3 linked regions of the Anolis sagrei genome follow. The protein of the gene in region 1 binds, or shares a complex with, the protein of each later gene. Links are inferred from orthologs where the notes say so. Each region holds a gene or a part of one and is shown in the gene's direction. Other genes may lie near its edges.

The links.
Region 2: the proteins of ITCH (region 1) and TXNIP are in contact, whole or in part, in a crystal structure (PDB 5CQ2), measured with the Homo sapiens proteins. The link is inferred for Anolis sagrei from reciprocal best matches to the Homo sapiens genes ITCH and TXNIP. Residues at the interface, in NP_001244066.1 of Homo sapiens: Glu485, Arg487, Thr489, Tyr495, Val497, Asp498, His499, Arg502, Thr503, Thr504, Thr505, Tyr506, Leu516; in NP_006463.3 of Homo sapiens: Pro328, Glu329, Ala330, Pro331, Pro332, Cys333, Tyr334, Val337, Ile338.
Region 3: the proteins of ITCH (region 1) and ARHGEF7 are in contact, whole or in part, in a crystal structure (PDB 5SXP), measured with the Homo sapiens proteins. The link is inferred for Anolis sagrei from reciprocal best matches to the Homo sapiens genes ITCH and ARHGEF7. Residues at the interface, in NP_001244066.1 of Homo sapiens: Arg252, Pro253, Pro254, Arg255, Pro256, Arg258, Pro259, Pro260, Pro261, Pro262, Thr263, Pro264, Arg266; in NP_001106983.1 of Homo sapiens: Phe193, Phe195, Thr198, Asp201, Glu202, Arg215, Glu217, Glu218, Gly219, Gly220, Trp221, Glu223, Thr230, Trp232, Pro234, Asn236, Tyr237.

Annotation. Positions count from the first base shown.
Region 1 is NC_090024.1:210,561,244-210,568,249, forward strand, and holds the start of ITCH (E3 ubiquitin-protein ligase Itchy homolog), read left to right. Parts: upstream 1-3,987; 5' UTR 3,988-4,083; intron 4,084-7,006. UniProt on the Homo sapiens protein: Acts as an Acts as an E3 ubiquitin-protein ligase which accepts ubiquitin from an E2 ubiquitin-conjugating enzyme in the form of a thioester and then directly transfers the ubiquitin to targeted substrates.
Region 2 is NC_090032.1:21,931,747-21,938,806, forward strand, and holds the start of TXNIP (thioredoxin-interacting protein), read left to right. Parts: upstream 1-4,056; 5' UTR 4,057-4,343; coding exon 4,344-4,596; intron 4,597-7,060. UniProt on the Homo sapiens protein: May act as an oxidative stress mediator by inhibiting thioredoxin activity or by limiting its bioavailability.
Region 3 is NC_090023.1:109,923,649-109,931,351, reverse strand, and holds the start of ARHGEF7 (rho guanine nucleotide exchange factor 7), read left to right. Parts: upstream 1-4,699; 5' UTR 4,700-5,067; coding exon 5,068-5,232; intron 5,233-7,703. UniProt on the Homo sapiens protein: Acts as a RAC1 guanine nucleotide exchange factor (GEF) and can induce membrane ruffling. Functions in cell migration, attachment and cell spreading. Promotes targeting of RAC1 to focal adhesions. May function as a positive regulator of apoptosis.

The DNA of each region.
Region 1 (7,006 bases):
TTAACTCTGAAAAATATACACTTCTCAATTTTCACAGATATCCTATATACTATATTTACATTAATAGCTGGCTTTTCAACACAAGCCAAATCTTTCTCTTTTCCACTCTTCCAGTGAATATATATCCAAGCAACCAGCTTAGACCATTTATTGCCCTCTCCTATTTAAATATCCATTTAGTACTGCAATAATGTATGTCCTGCTCTCAATCATGCAAATTGACATGGTGCACCTGTCACCCCAATCTCTTTAAAGGCATAGCTTTAGAGACATGGCCATCAAAATAACCAGGCATTTCTTGCAGTCAGAAAGTTTTATTCTGAAACACTTTAAAAAGATAGAATAATACAGAGAACTGAAGCTCTAGGGGTGCCACCAAAATGGAGGAACCCTGAGCAATGATAGCACATTCTCTTTGATAGTTTCACAGTGCTGTGCCACCCTTTTGGGGCATCACTCAACCAGACAATTTCACATCATGGTCCATGTCCCCACCCTGCAACCCCCTTTTGTTCAGTTCTTATCAGTAGGAATCCTTCGTCCCAACCCACCATGTACAAGGTGAGTGCTGACGATAATAGGCAGGCAAGATTCTGGCAAACCTTCAGCTTATCGAGGCCATCTGTGTCCGGCAGGGTGGGGTGCGGGGTGCTCACACACCTATTGGAAAAAACAGTGGGGCAATGTAATGTACACAAAATAAGTGTTTATCCCATATTATATGACAGTGGAAACTCATACAATCCAGCTCAAAGCAGACAACCTGGGATCAGATCCTGGGATATAAGGACAGTGTAGAAAGGGCCTTATCTGCCAAAGCTTCAAGATGAATTCATTTCTTAAAGACTTGTTTCGTTATGACATCTCCAAAACCAAGAGTATTTCTTGTAAAAACTGTCTTGCTACTGCATGACTAGAGGTGCTTGGTGTAAACAACCTGAATGGAATTTCCATAAAATAAGTTCCTTGGACCATTTGAGAATGCATCTCCATTGTAAAAATTAATAGTTTGATCCCACTTTAAGTGTCCTGGTTCAATGTTATGGTACCTTGGGAGTTGTAGTTTGCATGAGGCAGCAGTACTCTTTGGCAGAGAAAGCTAAAGGCTTTGTACCACAATCACACATCATCAGCGATTATTTGTGTTCGAGTAGGATGGCCTTCCAAGGGTAAGGTATTGACCGTAGGTCCATAGGTGACTGTGGAGATCTATTCTTGAGCCTCATGTTCTTCCACAGTGAGTAGGTTGGTTTCCAGATGAAAGATGGTCTCGGTCAGGACTGGCGGAAGGGAGAAACGCATCTTCCTCTTGACGCGTCTTGCTCTTGACATGTTTCTCCCTTTCGGCCTCCATTCATGCCTCTTCAAATGTCACAGCACTGTTCGTCACAGCTAATCTCCAGTTACAGCGCTCAAGGGCCAGGGCGTCCCAGTTCTGAGTGTCTATGGCACAGTTTTTAAGGTTGGTTTTAAGCCCATCTTTAAATCTCTTTTCCTCTTCACTAACATTCAGTTTTCCATTCTTCAGTTGGGAGTAGAGTAACTGCTTTGGGAGATGGTGGCTAGTCCAGTGGAGGTGATGGCGGAGGATCATCGCTTCAGTGCTGATGGGCTTTGCTTCTTCCAGCACGCTGACGTTTGTCCACTTGTCTTCCCAAGAAATTTGCAGGATTTTCCAGAGGCAGCACTGATGGAATTATCCCAGGAGTTGAGTGTGACATTTGTACAGTCCATGTTTTGCAGGCAACAACAGGGTTGGGAGGACAATAGCTTTATAAACAAGCATTTTGGTCTCCCTACAAATGTCCTGATACTCAAACACTCTCTGCTGCATTCAGAAAAATGCTGCACTCACAGAGCTGAGACGGTGTTGCATTTCAGTGCCAATGTTGACTTTTGTGGACAGGTGGTTGCCAAGATAGCGGAAATGGTCAACATTTTCTAATGTTACACCATTAATCTTTGATTGCTGTTTTTAAATTGTTTTAAATTGTTTTTAAATTGTGTTCAATTTTAGCCTGTTCTTGTAAGCCGCTCTGAGCCCCAGGGGAGTGGTGGCATATAAGTTCAAATAATAAATAAATAAATAAATAAATAAATAAATAAATCTGTATTTCTGGCATTGCAGAAGGATTGGTTGGTGACTGCTAGAAGTGCACTTCGATTTTCTTGATATTCAATGAGAGACCAAGGAGCCCCCGGTGGCGCAGTGGATTAAATCTTTGTGCTGGCAGGACTGAAGACTGACAGGTTGCAGGTTCGAATCCGGGGAGAGCATGGATGAGCTCCCTCTGTTAGCTCCAGCTCCCCATACAGGGACATGAGAGAAGCCTCCCACAAGGATGGTAAAATATCAAAACATCCTGGACATTCCCTGGACAAGGTCCTTGCAGATGGCCAATTCTCTCACAACAGAAGCAACTTGCAGTTTCTCAAGTCGCTCCTGACACACACAAAAAAATGAGAGGCCGAGCTTCTTGTATGCTTCTGCCAAGGTGTTTCGAGTGGCTTGTAGGTCGTCTTCTGAATGAGCACAGATTATCATCAGCATATTGGGGGTCTAACAGATGTTGTTGTGACCATGGTTTTGGCTTTCAGTCTGCTGATATTAAATAGCTTACCATCTGTCCTATGGATGACTTCCTTGTGGGAGGCTTCTCTCATGTCCCTGCATGGGGAGCTGGAGCTAACAGGGGGAACTCATCCATGCTCTCCCCGGATTTGAACCTGCGATCTGTCGGTCTTCAGTCCTGTTTTGTTGTTGTTCATTCGTTCAGTCGTCTCCGACTCTTCGTGACCTTATGGACCAGCCCACGCCAGAGCTCCCTGTCGGCCGTCACCACCCCCAGCTCCTTCAAGGTCAGTCCAGTCACTTCAAGGATGCCATCCATCCATCTTGCCCTTGGTCGGCCCCTCTTCCTTTTACCTTTCACTTTCCCCAGCATAATTGTCTTCTCCAGGCTTTGCTGTCTCCTCATGATGTGGCCAAAGTACTTCAACTTTGTCTCTAGTATCCTTCCCTCCAGTGAGCAGCCGGGCTTTATTTCCTGGAGGATGGACTGGTTGGATCTTCTCACAGTCCAAGGCACTCTCAGCACTTTCCTCCAACACCACAGTTCAAAAGCATTGATCTTCCTTCGCTCAGCCTTCCCTAAGGTCCAGCTCTCACATCTGTAGGTGACTACAGGGAATACCATGGCTTTGACTAGGCGGATCTTTGTCATTTCTCTTACTTTGTGACAAATCTTCAGGATTCAGCATCTTGACTATGCGGATCTTTGTTGCCAGTGTGATGTCTCTACTCTTTACGATTTTATCGAGACTGGACATTGCTCTCCTCCCAAGAAGTAAGCGTCTTCTGATTTCCTGGCCAGTCTGCATCTGCAGTAATCTTTGCACCTAGAAATACAAAGTCTGTCACGGCCTCCGCATTTTCTCCTGACACACACAAAAAAATGAGAGGCCGCGCTTCTTGTATGCTTCTGCCAAGGCATTTCGAGTGGCATGTAGGTCTTCTTCTGAATGAGCACAGATTACATTATCATCAGCATATTGGAGTTCTAACAGATGTTGTTGTGACCATGGTTTTGGCTTTCATTCTGCTGAGGTTAAATAGCTTGCCATCTGTCCTATGGATGATTTCCACACCACTACCCTAGCATTAAATCGGTGTCAAAGCGTGTTAAATCTACAGTGCCCCTTTCTGGAAACATGAGCGTGACACAAAGAAATAAAAGGACTTGTGTACTTGAAAGTTGCGGCATAACAGCTGGGCAAAAGGTCAAAACCCTTCCTTCTGCGTCAACAGGATCAAAGCGAAACCCACAAGTCGAACCAGGCTCTTCCTTCTCACCCGAATCAGCAGGCTTCCCTCCCCCTCCCCTCCCGGCTTTCCGCGGTAACCAATCAGAGCGAGCGCGAGCCTTCCCGAGGCCTGCTGGGGCGTGTAGTCCCGCGCCCACCTTCGTGCTCCTCGCGCCTCTTGCGCATGCGCCCGCGCTGCCCGACTTTGGAGAGTCGCCGCCTCAGGTTGGACTTGGACTGGCTGCCATCTTAGGCGAGAAGCCGTCGCCTGTCGGGCTGGTAAGGAGGAAGTGCGCCGCGGGGCCGGAGGGGCAGCCAGGGAGGGTCTGCCTCAGGGGTGGGCCTGGTGGGAGAGGAGTGGGCTGTGGGGCGGAGGACTTTGGCGTGGGCATCTTGATGGCTGTCTACGAGGAGGAAGGAGGAAGCCTGGGGGAGTAGGCCTGGAGGCAGGGGGTCGCCTCAGGTGCCTCCCAGTAGAATACTGTTGAAGAAGAAATACCCCCAACCCTTGGCTTCCTTTGCTCTCCCTCAAAAGCTCAGAGGCACGCCGCTCCCTGGATTCCTGGCTGTATTTTGAAGCCTATCATTCCTTGGTGGAGAGGCCCTCTTTCTTTAATTCCGCCATTCATTCACCCCCTCCCTCCATAATAGGCGATTGTTTGGTCAGATCTTGAGGCCTTCTGTTGTCCAGAGATATATATTATAATAGTGATGATGATGATGATTTTAATTTGTGACCCGCCTCTCCTCACAGATTATACTATAGTTCAAATACATAGCTGCTTTGAGTACCCTGTATTGAAAGAGAGGATGATAATAGCAAAGCAAATAACAACAACAGTAATGGTAATGATAAAATGCATAAAAATACATAGCTGCTTTGAGTATCCTGTATTGATAGAAAGGTAGGATGATAATAAAGCAAATAATAATAACAGCTCTAATGGTAATGATAAAATACACAGCTGTTTTGAGTCCCTGCATTGAGAGAAAGGTGGGATAATAATAAAGCAAATAATAACAATAACAGTAATGGTAATGATACAGTGCATAGCTGCTTTGAGTACCCAGTATTGATAGAAAGGTAGGATGGTAATAACGCAAATAATAATAACAACACTAATGGTAATGATAAAATACACAGCTGTTTTGAGTCCCTGCATTGAGAGAAAGGTAGGATGGTAATAAAGCAAATAATAATAATAATAACTCTAATGGTAATGATAAAATACATAGCTGCTTTGAGTCCCTGCATTGAGAGAAAGGTGGGATAATAATAAAGCAAATAATAACAATAACAGTAATGGTAATGATACAATACATAGCTGCTTTGAGTACCCTGTATTGATAGAAAGGTAGGATGATAATAAAGCAAATAACAATAACACTAATGGTAATGATAAAATACAGGCTGCTTGGAGTAGCCTGTATTGAAAGGTAGGCTAATAAAAGAATAATAACAGCAACTGCAATAGTAATGATAACATACATAGCTGCTTTGAGTAGCCTGTATTGAGAGAAAGGTAAGATAAAAATAAAGCAAATAACAACAACTAATGGTAATAATAATAATACAGTTCTTGTATTTGTTACCAGCCTCTCCACATGTCTCAAAGGCAGAGTACAGTATAGTTAAAACACATTACTGCCCCCCCCCAGTCCCTGTATTTAGAAAAAGATGGGATAACAATAAAGCAAATAATGATGACAATTGTAGTAATAATAACACCTTGTATTAGTTACCTGCCTCTCCTGAAGGCTCAAGGCAGAGTACAACATAGTTTAAACACACTAAATACATAGTTGCCTTGAGTCCCTGTATAGGGAGAAAGGTGGGATAAAAACCAAGCAAATAAATATAATAGTAGTAGTGATAGTAAGAATAATACTTTATTTGTTACCTGCCTCTCCTCGTGGCTGAAGGCAGGATATAATATAAATACATAAAATACATAGCAGCCCTGAGTCCCTGTATCACAAGAAAGCCAGGATAAAAATAAAGCAAATAAATATAATAGTAGTGATGATGATGATGATGATACAGTATTTGTTAGCCAGCTCTCCTCATGCCTCAAGCCAGGTACAATATAGTTAAAATATTCTCCTATGTCTGAAGAAAGGTGGAATGTCATTTGATAAGGGATGTGATTTTTGGAAATCCCAGGTTTTTAATTTCACTTGCCAGCAGGCCTCTAGGTACTATTTTCTGTTCCTCTTCTGCTCTTTAATCTGCCACCTCTTCAGGATGTATTGGTATCAAAACATATTCCTTGTTCTTATTCCCTGTGGTTTGCATGTGTCTCTGTCATCTAGTGGCCATATCAAAGCAGCACTAGCTACTACTTACTGGGAAATCCCGCCCATCTTTGGAAAGAAGCCAGTGGATAAATTGGTAGGTTAGTCTGGAAGGGAAAACCCTGGATCAAATGCTCACCTAGCTGTGACACTTTGTGGGTGTGCTGTGCATATATGGGATGCCGTGGAGTCCTATTCAACTAGGACTCGGCTTGGCACATGGCCCTGTTTATTTACAATCTCCTTTGACACTGTTGTTATGTTTATCCTACCAAGGTACCTAATTTCTGCATGAACGGTGAACTGGTTTTTGCTGGGTGCTCTCTTGTGTCCTTCCTGTCATCTCACATGTTTATTGTGAGGCTCTAGCGTCTAAATAGCCTATAGGCACCAGATCCTGTCTGATCTTGGAAGCTATGTGGGGTCAGCCCTGATGAATACTCAGATGGGAGACTGCTGATAAATACCAGGTGCTGTAGGCTATATTTCAGAGGAGGGAACTGGCAAAACCGCCTCTGAGTATTCCTTGCCTAAGAAACCCCTATAGAATTCAGGGGGTTGCTATGAGACAACAGGCAATTTGAAGGCACGTATACAAACACAAAATGCTGCTCTGAGCTCTTAAAAGAGTACAAGAGAGTGAAAAATATAGTTAGTGCAGTATAATATTGTTATACTGACATTAACAGTTCTTAGTTTCCGTCACTGCTGTTGTTTTGTTTGAAGAGAAAAGGTAGAATTTCTTTTGGTTTAGGCACAGTTCAGATAGTTTGTACTCCTCCTTTTATAAGATTGGGAATTGTTTGGAGAGAATGCAAACATTTTGTAAATAATTTCAATGTGAGGTTTTTGAAAGTTCTTATAGTAATAGTAATAATTTCTGTGAACAGATGAGTCATAAAAGAAA
Region 2 (7,060 bases), on another chromosome or scaffold:
TGGAGTTCAGGATGCTCTTTGATTATAGGTGAACTATAAATCCCAGCAACTACAACTCCCAAATTACAAAATAAATCCTCCCCCAACCCCACTAGCATAGTGGGTGCATTGGGTATTTGTGCCCAGTTTGGTCCAGTGAATGAAAATACATCTTGCACATCTGCTATTTAATTATGATTTATAACAGTAGTAAAATGACTGTTATGAAGCAGCAACAAAAACAATGTTATGGTTGGGGGTCACCACCACTGTTATGTATTAAGGGGTCACGGCATTAGGCAATGTTATGTATTAAGGGGTCACGGCATTAGGAAGGTTGAGAACCACTGGTTTAGGGCTTTGTAGGTAAGCACCTGCACCTTGAATTGGGTTCGGTAGGTAAACGGCAGCCAGTGGAGCTCCTTAAACAGGAGGATTGACCTCTCTCTGTAAGGAGCCCCAGTTAATATCCTGGACCAACTGAAATTTCTGAGCCGTCTTCAAGGGCAGCCCCACGTAGAGCGCATTACAGTAGTCCAGTCTAGAGGTGACCAAGGCATGGACCACCCCGGCCAAATCAGCCTTCACGAGGTACGGTCGCAGTTGGTGCACGAGTCTCAATTGTGCAAAAACCCTCCCGGACACTGCCGACACCTGAGCCTCAAGCGTGAGCGATGAATCCAAGAGGACTCCCAAGCTGCGGACCTGTGGCTTCAGGGGGAGTGTAACCCCGTCCAGCACAGGTTGCCACCCTAGACCCCTTGACCAAGAGGACCTCTGTCTTGTCGGGATTGATCTTCAGCTTGTTCCTCCTCATCCAGATAGACACAGCGGCCAGGCACTCGTCCAGCACTTGAGGGGCTTCCTTGGAGTTAGGTGGAAAGGAGTAGCAGAGTTGGGCATCATCTGCGTAGAGGTGGCACCCAACTCCAAAACTCCGGATGACCTCTCCCAGCGGTTTCATGTAGATCAGTGGTTCTCAACCTTCCTAATGCCGTGACCCCTTAACACAGTCCCCCATGTGGTGGTGACCCCCAACCATAATATTGTTTTGCTACTTCATAACAGTCATTTTACTACTGTTATAAATCATAATGTAAATATCTGATCTGCAGGATGCATTTTCGTTCACTGGGCCAAACTGGGCACAAATACCCAATACGCCCAAATGTGAATGCTAGTGGGGTTGGGGGAGGATTGCTTTTGTAATCTGGGAGTTGTAGTTGCTGGGATTTATAGTTCACCTTTAATCAAAGAGCATTCTGAACTCCACCAGCAATGGATTTGAAATTAATTTGGCACACAGAACTCCCATGACCAATGGAAAATACTGGAAGAGTTTGGTGGACATTGACCTTGAGTTTGGGAGTTGTACTTCACCTATAGCCAGAGAGCACTGTGGACTCACACAATGGTGGATCTGGACCAAACTTGGCACAAATACTCAATATGTCCAAATGTGAACACTGGTGGAGTCTGGGGAAAATAGACCTTGACTTTTGGGAGTTGTAGTTGCTGGGATTTATAGTTCACTACAATCAAAGAACATTCTGAACCCCACCAATGATAGAATTAGCTCAAACTTCCCACATGGAATCCCCATGACCATCAGAGAATACTGTGTTTTCTGATGATCTTTGGTGACCCCTCTGACACCCCCTCACGACCCCCTCAAGGGTCCCGACCCCCAGGCTGAGAAACACTGATGTAGATGTTAAAAAGCATGGGGGACAGAATGGAGCCTTGCAGGACCCCACAGGTCAACGGCCAGGAGTCCAAGCAGGCGTCTCCCAGCTTCACCATCTGGGTCCGTCCCTCCTGGAAGGACCGGAGCCACGACAGGACCGTGCCCCCGAGACCCATCCCGGAGAGACAACCCAAAAGGATACCATGATCGATGGTATCGAAAGCCGCTGAGATGTCCAAGCGAACACTCCCCCTGTCCAGCTCTCTATAGTAATAAAATAAAAATATAAAATAATAGCAATAAAATAACAATAGTAATATAAAATACTAGCAATAAAGTAATAACATAAAATAATAGTAATAAAATAATAATAATATAAAATGCTAGCAATAAAATAAAAATATAAAATAATAGCAATAAAATAACAATAGTAATATAAAGTAATAGTAATATAATAATATAAAATAATGGCAATAAAATTAAAATATACAATAACAATAATAATACAAAATAATAGTAATAAAATAAGAATAATATAAAATAATAGCAAAAATAATAATATAAAGTAATAGCAACAAAATAATAATAATAATATAAAATGCTAGCAATAAAATAATATAAAATAATAGCAAAAATAACAATATAAAATAATAGCAAAAATAACAATACTATAAAATAATAGTACCGTAATAAAATAATAGCAATAAAATAATAATATAAAATAATAGTAATAATATAAATAATATAAAATAATAGTGATAAAATAAAATAATATAAAATAATAGCAATGAAATAATAATATAATGTAATAGAAATAATAATAGTAATATAAAATAATAGCCATAAAATAACAATAATATAAAATAATAGTAATAAAATAATAATAATATAAAATAATAGTAATAAAATAATAATAAGTTATAATATAAAATAATAGTAACAAAGTAAAATAATAGCAATAAAATTATAATATAAAATAATACCAATAAAATAATAATATAAAATGATAGTAATAAAATAATAATAATATAAATAATAATATAAATAATATAAAATAATAGTAATAAAATAATATAATATAAAATACTAGCAATAAAATAATGGTATAATATAATAGCAATAATAATAGTAATATAAAATAATAGTAATAATATAAATAATAATATAAATAATAGTAATAAAATAAAATAATAGCAATAAAATTATAATATAAAATAATAGCAATAAAATAACAATAATAATATAAAATGCTAGCAAGGGAAGGCCCAAGTTGGCCCAGGCCTGAGGCCTTGAGGAATGATGGGAGTTGGAGTCCAAAAACACCTCAAGGGAAGGCCCAGGTTGGCCCAGGCCTGAGGCCTTGAGGAATGATGGGAGTTGGAGTCCAGCAACACCTCAAGGGAAGGCCCAAGTTGGCCAGGCCGGGCCTAGCGGGACCCCAGAAGCCTAAAGTAGAGTAGCAATCCCTGTCATGTCTTGGAAAGCGCCACTCCCTTCGCCTCGCCTCCTCATTGGCTCCCCTTGACTCCCCTTTCCCCATCCTCGTCCTCCGATTGGCTCTCCCTCCTGTCACTCCGAGGAAATCCCCCCGCCCCCGCTCTTACTACCTTCTCTCTCTCAGTTTCCCTCAGCGAGGCATCCTCTCTGCACACGCTGTCCACGCGCCGCCGGCCGCGCGCTGATTGGTCCGCCGGGTTGTAAACACGGCGCGTCGGCCAATGGGAGCGCTGTGCACGAGGGCAGCACGAGGGCGGCATGGAGATCAACAGGAAGGGCGGGGGTATAAAAGGGAGACTCCGGGGCGGAGCTGGCCAGACGCCGAGAAGGCAGCCGAGGGGAAGGAGCTCCTCAGCGCGCAACATAATCATTTTTTTGGGGCAAAAAGGGCTATTTTGGAGATTCTTTTAACATTATAGGAAATCATTACTATATTATACTAATATAATTTCCTATATTTAATATTATAGGAAGTTATTATTGGATAATAATTCATAATAATTACTAAAATTGGCAGTTTGGGAAATAAAAAATACTTCTGAGTTATTACTATTATTGTAATTAAAATATAGTATATAATTTGGATTTTTGGGGAATTAAAAATACTTTATTACTATTATAGTAATTATAATATTACTATTATAGTAATTTTATATAATTTGGATTTTTGGGGAATTAAAAGTACTTCAGATTTATTACTATTATAGTAGTATATAATTTGGATTTTGGGGGAATTAAAAATACTTTATTACTATTATAGTAATTATAATACACTGATAATTGATTTCAATTGGCTGTTATATATTGCATATAATTACTGAAATTATTTTAATTTTTTTTAGAAATTTATCGTAATTGGGAAATTTATAGAATCTAAAAATATTTGAGAAATTTATCATAACTGGCAAATTTAAAAGACTCAAAATACTTCAGAATTTATTCTAATTGGGAAATTTATAGAATCTAAAAATATTTTTTGAAATTTATTCTAATTGGGAAATTTAAAAGAATCTAAAAATATTTTTTAAATTTACTATAATTGGCAAATTTATATATATTTGCCCCCTTTTTATGCTCCATTGGGAGGCACAACAAGACCCCCGTGCCCCTTTCGTGTGGTCAGTTGACCCCTTGAGCGTTTGGCCCATTTGATCAGGAGGACAAAACCAAGGTGTGAGCCATGGTGATGTTCAAGAAGCTGAAGGTCTTCCAGCTGTCCTTCTCCGAACCAGACGAGAAGGTCTACGGGAGCGGCGAGAAGGTCTGCGGCCGTGTTGAGGTCCAGGTCTCGGAGGTCACGCGGGTCACGGCCTTGCGCCTCCTGGCCTGCGGGGTGGCCAAGGTCTGCTGGACCGCCGGGCCGCAGCAGCGCAAGCAGTGCATGGAGTACCTGCGCTATGAAGAGGAGCTACACCTGGAGGACCAACCTCAAGGTGAGCATCTCCTGATTTCCTACAGCAAGTACGGGCCAGATTTGGCCCTCCGGGTGGTCAACAGTAAAAATGTGGGAGTGGGGTTAAATAAATGGGAAGGTGAGCATCTTCTAAGGAAGGTACGGGCCAGATCTGGGCCTCCAGGTGGTTTGGACTCCCAAGTCAACAATGCAAGGGTGGAAGTGAGATTCAATAAATAGGAAGGTGAGCATCTTCTAAAGAAGGTACAAGCCAGATCTGGACCTCCAGGTGGTTTGGACTTCAGATCAACAGTGAAAATGTGGGAGTCGGGTAAAAGGAATGGAAAGGTGAGCATCTTCTAAAGAAGGTATGGGCCAGATCTGGACCTCCAGGTGGTTTGGAGTCCCAAGTCAACAATGAAAGGGTGGAAGTTGGGTTCAATAAATAGGAAGGTGAGCATCTTCTAAGGAAGGTACGGGCCAGATCTGGACCTCCAGGTGGTTTGGATTCCCAAGTCAACAGTGAAAATGTGGGAGTTGGGTTAAATAAATAGGAAGGTGAACATCTCCTGAAGAAGGTATGATCCAGATTTGGCCCTCCAGGTGGTTTGGAGTCCCAAGTCAACAATGAAAGGGTGGAAGTGGAGTTCAATAAATAGGAAGGTGAGCGTCTTCTAAAGAAGGTATGGGCCAGATCTGGACATCCAGGTGGTTTGGAGTCCCAAGTCAACAATGAAAGGGTGGAAGTGGGATTCAATAAATAGGAAGGTGAGCATCTTCTAAAGACGGTACGGACCAGATCTGGACATCCAAGTGGTTTGGACTCACAAGTCAACAATGAAAGGTTGGGGGTGGGGTTCAATAAATAGGAAGGTGAGCATCTCCTAAAGAAGGTAATCTTTCAGAGTTGGCCAGGCCCGTTCCGAAGTATCGTTCTCCCATTGCTAGGTCTGGGAAGTCTGCACAAAGGTCACACAATTTGGATGGTCAGTGTCAAAACCAGGCCGAGCTGGACGCTGAGAGTCTTGAGACAGAAGGACGGACAGGAGAAAGGAGCAATAATAATAACTCTTAATCGCTCCTGTCCACCTGCTGCTACTGGCGTTTGGCAGCTGTGACGATCTGGATCGAGGGTGTACGTATCGAAATTGGATCCAGACAAGACGGGAGTACATCCTGGTCAGCCAAAAGGCCAAACAGGGTCTAGGGTTACGGGTCTGGGCAGTGGCCAGGGGACCTTTTGCACAGTTAAGACTTGTGCCCGTACATTGAGAAGCCAGTCTTGGCCACGCTCTTGTTACATTCCCCGAATAGACTACTGCAACGCGCTCTGGGTGGGGCTGCCTTTGAAGACTGTTCAGAAGCTTCAAATGATCCAATGCAGCAGCGGGCATAGAGATCTTGTTTGTTGTGTATCAAGCAATAATAAAAAATAATAACATAGCTACTTTATAAATAACCACTTTGAGTCTCCTTCGTGGAGAGGAAAAGAGGAATATAAGTAAACATCGTAATAATACGGTTGTTTTGAGAGGTCTTTTTTGTAAACAGTTAACAAAAGAATGGGTTGCGGTTTCCAATGATTCATGGCTTAAAATAGATGTCAACAGAATCTGTTCAGCAAGAGATCAGTGGAATGAGCTCAACTGCTCATTAAGGAGTTATGTTGAATGATATGGGTGACTATATATATTATATATATATATATGTATATAAAAATGAAGATTCAAACTGCATTGTCCGTACAGTCAGGGTAGATCCAGCTTGTGTTGGATCTTTGGGTTCATAGCTTGGTTGTGTTTACATGTGTTTCTAGGCACTTATCTTATTTATTATTTATTATCTTGGTTTGCATATTTGAAAAATAGATACGTAGGGTGCACCTACAGTGTAGAAATGAATGCGGTTCGATGCCCTTTTGAAAGTGGTTTGACACCACTGTAATATATTATATGTGTGGTTTGATACCACTGCAATATATTATATATGCATATTAGGCTTGGGCAATCCGTGGTTCTAAATGGTTCTAAAGTACTTACAAAACTAAAGTTCTGGTGGTGAAAATTTCAGAACTCTTAACAAAACTTTCAAAATTTAATTATTATTTAATTATTGGTGATTTTAATGACAGAACCAATTAGGAACTGCCATTTATTATGAAATTTTGAGAGTTTTGTTAGAGTTCTGAAATTTTCACCACCAGAACTTTAGTTTTGTAAGTACTTTAGAACCATTTACAACCATGGATTGCCCAAGCCTAATGCGTATTATATGTGTGTATGTATATAGTGTAATATTTGTTTGTGGGATTAACATAGCTCAAAAACCACTGGACAAATTGACACCAAATTTGGACACAATACTCGTATTAGGCCAACAAGTGACCATCACTCATAAAAACACTGAAAAACAGAATAGAAGAGACTTAAAAAGCCCCAAAAAATTACAACACATGCACAAAACCACTTATACATATATACACACACACACGTAAGACATATACA
Region 3 (7,703 bases), on another chromosome or scaffold:
GACTCCACTTTGTTTGGTCATAGAACAGTGTTTCTCAACCTTACTAATGCCGTGACCCATTAATACAGTTCCTCATGTTGTGGTGACCCCCAACCATAAAATTATTTTCCTTGCTACTTCATAACTGTAATTTTGCTACTGTTATGAATCGCAATGTAAATATCTGACATGCAGGATGTATTTCCACTCTTCGAACCAAATTTGGCACAAATACTCAATATGTTCAAATTTGAATGCTGGTGGGGTTGGGTGTGTGTGTGTGTTTTGACATTTGGGAGTTGTAGTTGGGGGGATTTATAGTTCACTTGCAATCGAAGAGCATTCTGAATCCCACCAATGAGAGAATTGGGCCAAACTTCCCACACAGAACTCCCATGACCAACAGAAAATACTGTGTATTCTGATGGTCTTTGGTGACCCCTCTGACACTCCCTCGTGACCCCTCCAGGGGTCCCGACCCCCAGGTTGAGAAACACTGTCATAGAAAATTGTCGGTGACCATGAGCAAGTCCTACTCTTTCAGCTCCAGAGGGAGCCGATGGCAAAATACTTTCAATAAATCTTGTCAAGAGAAGCCCATGATAGGCTCACCTTAGGGTTGACCAGAATAAAAAAAAAGGTGTCTGCAATCCATTCTGTGCAGTTCCTTGGGAATGAAGTACATTGGACATCTGGGGTAACAATTCTCAGTAGACACTATGATTATAATAGTCTTCATATTTAAGGATTACACCAGTAATGGATGGGGAAAGTAAACCTTAAGATCACCCTATATCATCAATGACCTGAAGGCATACAACAATCACATCAACAAAATGTGTGCATCAAGGGATGAAGACTCAGCACTCTTCTGTCCTGTTGATCCTTTTGTAAACTTGATAGTTTTTGCCCATTTACTTGTAACTTAGACATGTGTAACCACACTGTTTATCTATACCAATGGTTCCCAACCTTTCTTTGACGAGGGACCACTTGACCAGGGACCACTCTCCAACATTAGTACTAAAAGGGTTACAAATAAGTTTTTGGTCAACTTTAGATTCGTTTTGGTTATCTGAGGTGGTGATTCAGGAAATTGCATTGGATAGACCACATCAGCTCTAGTTTGTGATCCAGAACGTATGACATCCAGTAGACGCCATCTGCTCACCCACAGAAAACCATATTTAATCAGCCTTGGCACTAGAAGAGGGTTTTGCGATACCAGTCACTCTTGTTGCAACGGTATAGTAATGGTGAGACTGTGGACCATATTTTAGTTCTTATGGACCACTGGTAGTCCATGGACCACAGATTGGGAATCACTGATCTACATGGTTCCTATTTGAATTATCTCAGTTATTTGATTTACCTGTTGCATCTCTATAATTTTACAAATGTTACAGAACATTCGTCAGGTCCTTCTGCTCTACAGCTTCAACTGCCCCACAATCCACAAACAGTCTTAATATTTAAGGATGCAATAGAGGAAAATAAATTGCCCCCCATGAATATCATGAAGTTGGCAAAATTAACAATAGCTTGCAGTGACAAGTCCTCCTATCTTAATCCTATTTTAGTGTTAAGTTTTTGAGGTTTTAAATTGTGTAATGTATTGTTAGCCATTTTGGGTTTCATTTTAGAGTGAGAAAGCAGGATATAAATCAGGCATGAGCAGCCTATTGGCTGTTGGGAATGGTGGGAGTTGAAGCCCAAAACAACTGAAGGGCCCAAGTTGGCCCATGCCTGATATAAATACATATACATATAATAATATGTTTGTGAAAGTTTGCTTTGATGTTTACATCAGGCCAAGATGCCCATACGTTTAATCCATTTGGAACTGTTTAATGAACAATTTGTATTTCTAATGCTTTTGGTAGTCTATTTTCAAATCTTTTTAGACTAGGGGGGAGTCTATTTGTCATTGCATCAGTGATTCCATGTATTTTAAGATCGGTAATTATTGCTCTTTTTAGTGTTTTTTTTTTTTTTTTAAGTGGGGGGAGAAGATATACCTTTAAAAATCTATTCCTAGAGACAGGAAACCAGTTCATTTGTCTGTGAGGTTTCTCTGCCGCCAGGAAAAGGAAGAAGCCCAAGCCCCCCCCCCCCCCCCCCGTTTCCTTTCCTACCTCTAGCTGCTGCTGCTGCTATTTCCATGGGATGAGCTCATTCACTCGCGCCTTTGCGCAAAGCAATTCGTCGCCAGGGGGCGCCCGAGGCCGGATCCCAGCCTGCTGAATACAGACCCGAAATCTAATTCGTGACCGATAGATTCCCCCGCTCCTTCAGGTGGCCCGGGAGGGATCCGCATGGTCGGTCGACGGGATGGGGTGGGGAGGAGGCTCCGCTGAAATAACACCCCCCCCCCCGCCGCTCCCCTTTCCCTTAGTGCTCTTAAAATGAATTGGAGAGATCGCATGTCAAGCGCTTGACAGCTTGGGCAACGGGCTGCCCATTGAATTCGGATTCTGGTGCTGCAAAGTGACAGCTGGGTGGATCTGTTTGGTTCACGTCGTGGGAGGCGCACCAAGGCCGCCGCCGCCGCCGCCGCTACACCCCCCTCCTCCCTCTAACATGGTGTTTCAGCCACCTGGCGGGATGCGACTATTGGTGTGTGCGGTGCGCCCCCCTCCCTCCCTCCCTCCCAATGTATATAGGAGGAGGGAGCGCATGTGCATTTATCTACCCATGTGCATAGATCTAGCCATCTATTTCTCTATCTAGATACATGGATCTATCTATCAGTCTATTGATCGAGATCTGTCTATTTCTCTATCTGCCCAACTCTATCCATCTACTCTATCTGCCTATTTACCTATCAATACACACCTACGTATCTATCTCTTATCTATCTGTCTATCTGTCTTTTTCTATAGACCTACCTATCTACCTAGATCTATCTGTCTATACAGACCTACTTATCTACCTAGATCTATCTATCCATCTGTTTTTACAGACCTACCTACCACATCTATCTATATCTATCTATCTATCTATCTATCTATCTATCTATCCAGACTGACCTATCTACCTCTTATCTATCTGTCTGTCTATTTTTACAGACCTACCTATATACCTCTTATCTATCTATATCTATTTTTACAGACCTATCTATCTATCTACCTACCTACCTATCTGTTTTTATTTATTTATGACATTTATATGCCACCCTTCTCACTTTGAAGGGGACTCAGAGCAGCTTACAAGATATATATACATACAATATATTATATTATTAGCATAGCACAATATCAGTATTATATATTACATATTGTACTACACCATCTTATTGTAATAATATTACAATACAATGGTACAGTACAATATAGCAATTTTACATGTAATATAAAATATATAATTATAATAACATATTATTCATAGTAGTATTATTATATTGTATTACATTATAATATTATAAATATTATATGTATATGTACATTATATTATATTAAATTATTTAGCATAGCGCAGGAGATGAGGTGGAACTGTCTTCCTGGCCCTCTCTCTTCACTCTGGTCCCAGACCTACCTATCTATCTCTTATCTATCTATCTATCTATCTATCTATCTCTCTATTTATATAGACCTACCTATCTACCTAGATCTATCTCTCAATTGATCCTCTATATATACAGGCCTACCTATCTAACTAGATCTATCTATCTATCTATACAGACCTACCTACCTACCTAGATCTGTCTGTCTGTTTATTCTTACAGACCTTCCTATCTACCTAGATCTAGCTAGCTAGCTATCTGTTTTTACAGACCTGCCTATCTACCTAGCAATGGTTCTCAACCTGTGGGTCCCCAGATGTTTTGACCTCCAACTCCCAGAAATCCTATAAGCTGGTAAACTGGCTTGGATTTCAGGGAGTTGTAGGCCAAAACACCTGGGGACCCACAGATTGAGAACCATTGACCTAGATCTATCTATCTGTCCATCTGTCAATTATACAGGCCTACCTATCTACCTAGATCTATCTATCTATCTATCTATCTATCTATCTATTTACACAGATCCATCTATCTATCTATCTATCTATCTATCTATCGAGGTCTGTCTGCCTGTCTATCTATTTATCTGTCTATTTACACAGACCTACCTATCTACCTAGATCTGTCTATTTATACAGACCTACCTATCTCCCTAGATCGATCGATCGATCTGTCTGTCTATTTGTATAGACCTACCTCTCTACCTAGGTCTGTCTGCCTGCCTGCCTATCTACCTAGATCTGTCTATAGAGCTACCTACCTACTACCTACTTACCTACATCTATCCTCTCCCCCCCCCCCCGCCCCGCCCTCCTCGGGATGGAAAGCGAAGCAAAGGGATCCCGTGGACGCCGGTTTTGAGGGCGGGGGGGGGGGCAGGTTTCGCAGCGCAGAGAGGGAGACGCGGGGCAGGTCTCTCTGCGGGTGCCCATAAGGGTGACCCACACCCATCCCTCCATCCTCAGCGCCTTGGCCAAGGCAAGGGTGGCGGCTTTTATGCGGGGGCTCCTGGAGGAGAGGAGGGGGGCTGAGCCTCCTTCTCCTCCTCCTCCTCTCCTCTCCCCCTCCCCTCCCCATCCCCTCCCTCCTCAATGATGTCATGGAGAGGCAGCAGGAGGGAGGGAGGGAGGAGGGGAAGAGGAGGAGGAGGAGGAGGGAGGAGGATAGAGGCGGCGGCGGCGGTGGCGGCCCTGCAGGTCCGTGTGTGCCTGTAATGAGGAGGCGCCTGTCCCTGGGCCCAGAGGCTCCGGAGGAGGGAGGAACCGGGCCGGCCCCCCGCGGCTCCATGGCCAGGAGGAGGCAGCCAGGCCCGGAGCGGGGCGCCTCCTCCATGTGAAGCCCGGGAGGAAGGTGGGCTGGCTGCCGAGCGAGCGAGGGAGGGAGGCAGGCAAGGCAGGCAGAGGGGTCTTCCCCAAGACATCAACCGCCCCCCCCCTCCGATTATTGAGAAATTAGACGCCCCCAGCCGTGCTATTTGTGCAGCCCTGCTGCCCCCCCCCCCTGGATTGGATTGGGATAAAGGGTTCCGGGGCCTGGCTCCCCTCCCCTCGCCGCCTTTCCTCTGCTTGGCCTCCTCCGCCGCAGCCATGAATTCCGCGGAGCAGACCGTTACATGGCTGATCACCCTGGGGGTGCTGGAGTCGCCCAAGAAGAGCATCTCGGACCCGGAGGGCTTCCTGCAGGCCTCGCTCAAGGACGGCGTGGTGCTCTGCAGGCTCCTCGACCGCCTCCTCCCCGGCACCATCGACAAGGTGAGTCCGGATCGGACGCGGACCCCCCGCTTTCCAACCCTGCGCGGAAGGGGGGGAAGGGGGTTGAGACTGAGACTGAGACTGAGAGGGGGAACCTGGGTCTAGGATGAGGCTGGTGGGGTCTCCCTCTCCCTTTCTCCCCTTGCTCCTTTCCCCTAGTATCCACTATCCCCTGGGTATAGGATGAGGTTGGGGGTCTCTCTCTCTCTCTCTCCTCCTTTCCTTTGCTTCCCCCAGTATCCCACCCCCCACCCTCATCTCCCGCATGGCACAGTTTCGGATCTGGGCAGGATCAAGCGACACCCCCCTTTTCCTCCCCCTCCCGATCCGCTTTCCGCAAAGCCCTCCAGACTGGGGAAGACAAGAGAGGCTGGGGGAAATGCCCAGCACTTTCCTTTGTCCCGCATTAGCCTTGCAGAGGCAGGAAACGGGGGTCTTTTTAAGGGGAGCCCCCTCCCCACCCTATTTCCTCACCCCCTCGCATTGACATCCTTCCCTTCTCGCTGGGAAGGCGCCATTGTCAAGGCATGGGAGGGGGCTTCTCTCTTGGGAGGGAGACAGAGTTTGGGGCTGAGCAGCTCCTGCCTGCCTTGGGAGGTGGACCCCTCCCAAAAGGAGCTTTCCTTTGGTTCTCAATCATGACAAAACACATGTGGTTGGGCCCAGATCGCCCACAAAACCGTGCACTGCCCTAGGAGCGATGCTCAGCCCCACCTGATAGATCTACAGCAGATGGTGGCTCTTTTCCCCCCATCCTGTTTGAATGAAAACATGCTCGTTTTAGGGCATCCCTTGTTCTTTAATGAGAAATCACATCAAGGCCAAGAGGCAGGAAGCTTTTACAGCAGGGATGAAGGGCCTCCAATGGGATCCCTTCGCGGTCTATGAACAAGGCGCATGGTTTTGATGCTAGGAGTCTTTTTCAGATCCAAAGGCCAATTTTCTGGCCTCTTTGATAGTCATAGAATCCTAGAGTTGGAAGAGACCTTGTGGGCCATCCAGTCCAACCCCCTGTCAAGAAGCAGGGAAATAGCATTCAAAGCACCTCAGAGAGATGGCCATCCAGCCTCCAAAGAAGGCCTCCAAAGAAGGAGCCTCCACCACACTCAGGGCTGGCTATTGACAGGATGGACAAGCTCTCGGGCCCTCGTTTTGAATGGGATGTCAAAGCCTTCACAAGATTTATGTCAGAAGTCTCTATGATGTGGATATAATGATGTGCAATATTAGATGGGTAGACTAGAAGGAGCCACTACAGTCCCTGTTGCTTAAATAAGTCCTTTTTTAAATGAGGTGTGTCTCTCTAGCACTTCGCGTTGCAACATGCTGACCTAATTTGCAAAGGCACAGTTTGTGTGTGTTATTCTCCAAGATTTTAGTTTTGAGATTTCATTACTTGATGCTTTCTAAATCTGTTCAAATTGGAAAAAATATTGGTTTGTGTGGGGTTTTTTTTCTTGTCTCAAAATGTAAAATTCACAATATTTTTGTAAGATTCATAATATTCTTGGAAAATCCATAATATTCATGTAAAAACCATAATATTCTTGAATGTTTGTTCTTTTAAATATTATGTTGCCAAAGGCTTTCATGGCCGGAATTACTGGGTTGCATTCTCTCCTGACATTTTGCCCACATATATGGCAGGCACTCTCAGAGGTTGTGAGGTCTGTTGGAAACTAGGCAAGTGTGGTTTATATATCTGGAATGTCCAGTTTCCAACAGAGCTCACAACCTCTGAGGATGCCTGCCATAGATGTGGGCAAAACGTCAGGAGAGAATGCTTCTGGGACATAGCCATACAGCCCGGAAAACTCACAACAAGCCTTTAAAATATTGTTTCAATTCAAGTGATTACAGATGTGTGTTTTATTCTTTGTCTAAGAACCAGATATTCTGATTAGCACATTGCATTTCAATTTCCCTGGTTACAGTTCTGGAAAAATTGGTGCTTGTTCATTGATTCCCCCCTCTATAAACTATGGTGAACTTTGACCTACATATTGTTTTGCTTTTATTCTCTTTCATTGGTGGGAATGGGAAGCCCAGGCTAGTTTTTTTTTTTAAAGACGTTCCATGGTAATGTGAACTTGACATAAGAGAGGAACTGTTGTCTTTTGGAAAGGATATCCTAACCTGAAGTTTTGGCATTATTTCATAGATCTTTGTATCTTTTGAGTATCATTTGCATGACAGTAGCCTTTAGGGGGCAGAGTGGCTATTGGCAAGAGTGGTTTGTTTTTTATAATTGCTCTCAAATTGACTTTGAATTACAGGACACTATCCACTTCATCACATTCATTAAATACTACTGAGCCATCCACTTAAAAATGGCAACCTACTGTGTTCATCATATGACACAGTCTTCAAGTGTAGGGTAGAAATATCTTGTGGGTGAAAAAAATTCACAAGGTTATCTTTGAGATGCTTTCTAAGCTTGTTAGCAAGTAACTTTTTTTGCAGATTATCTG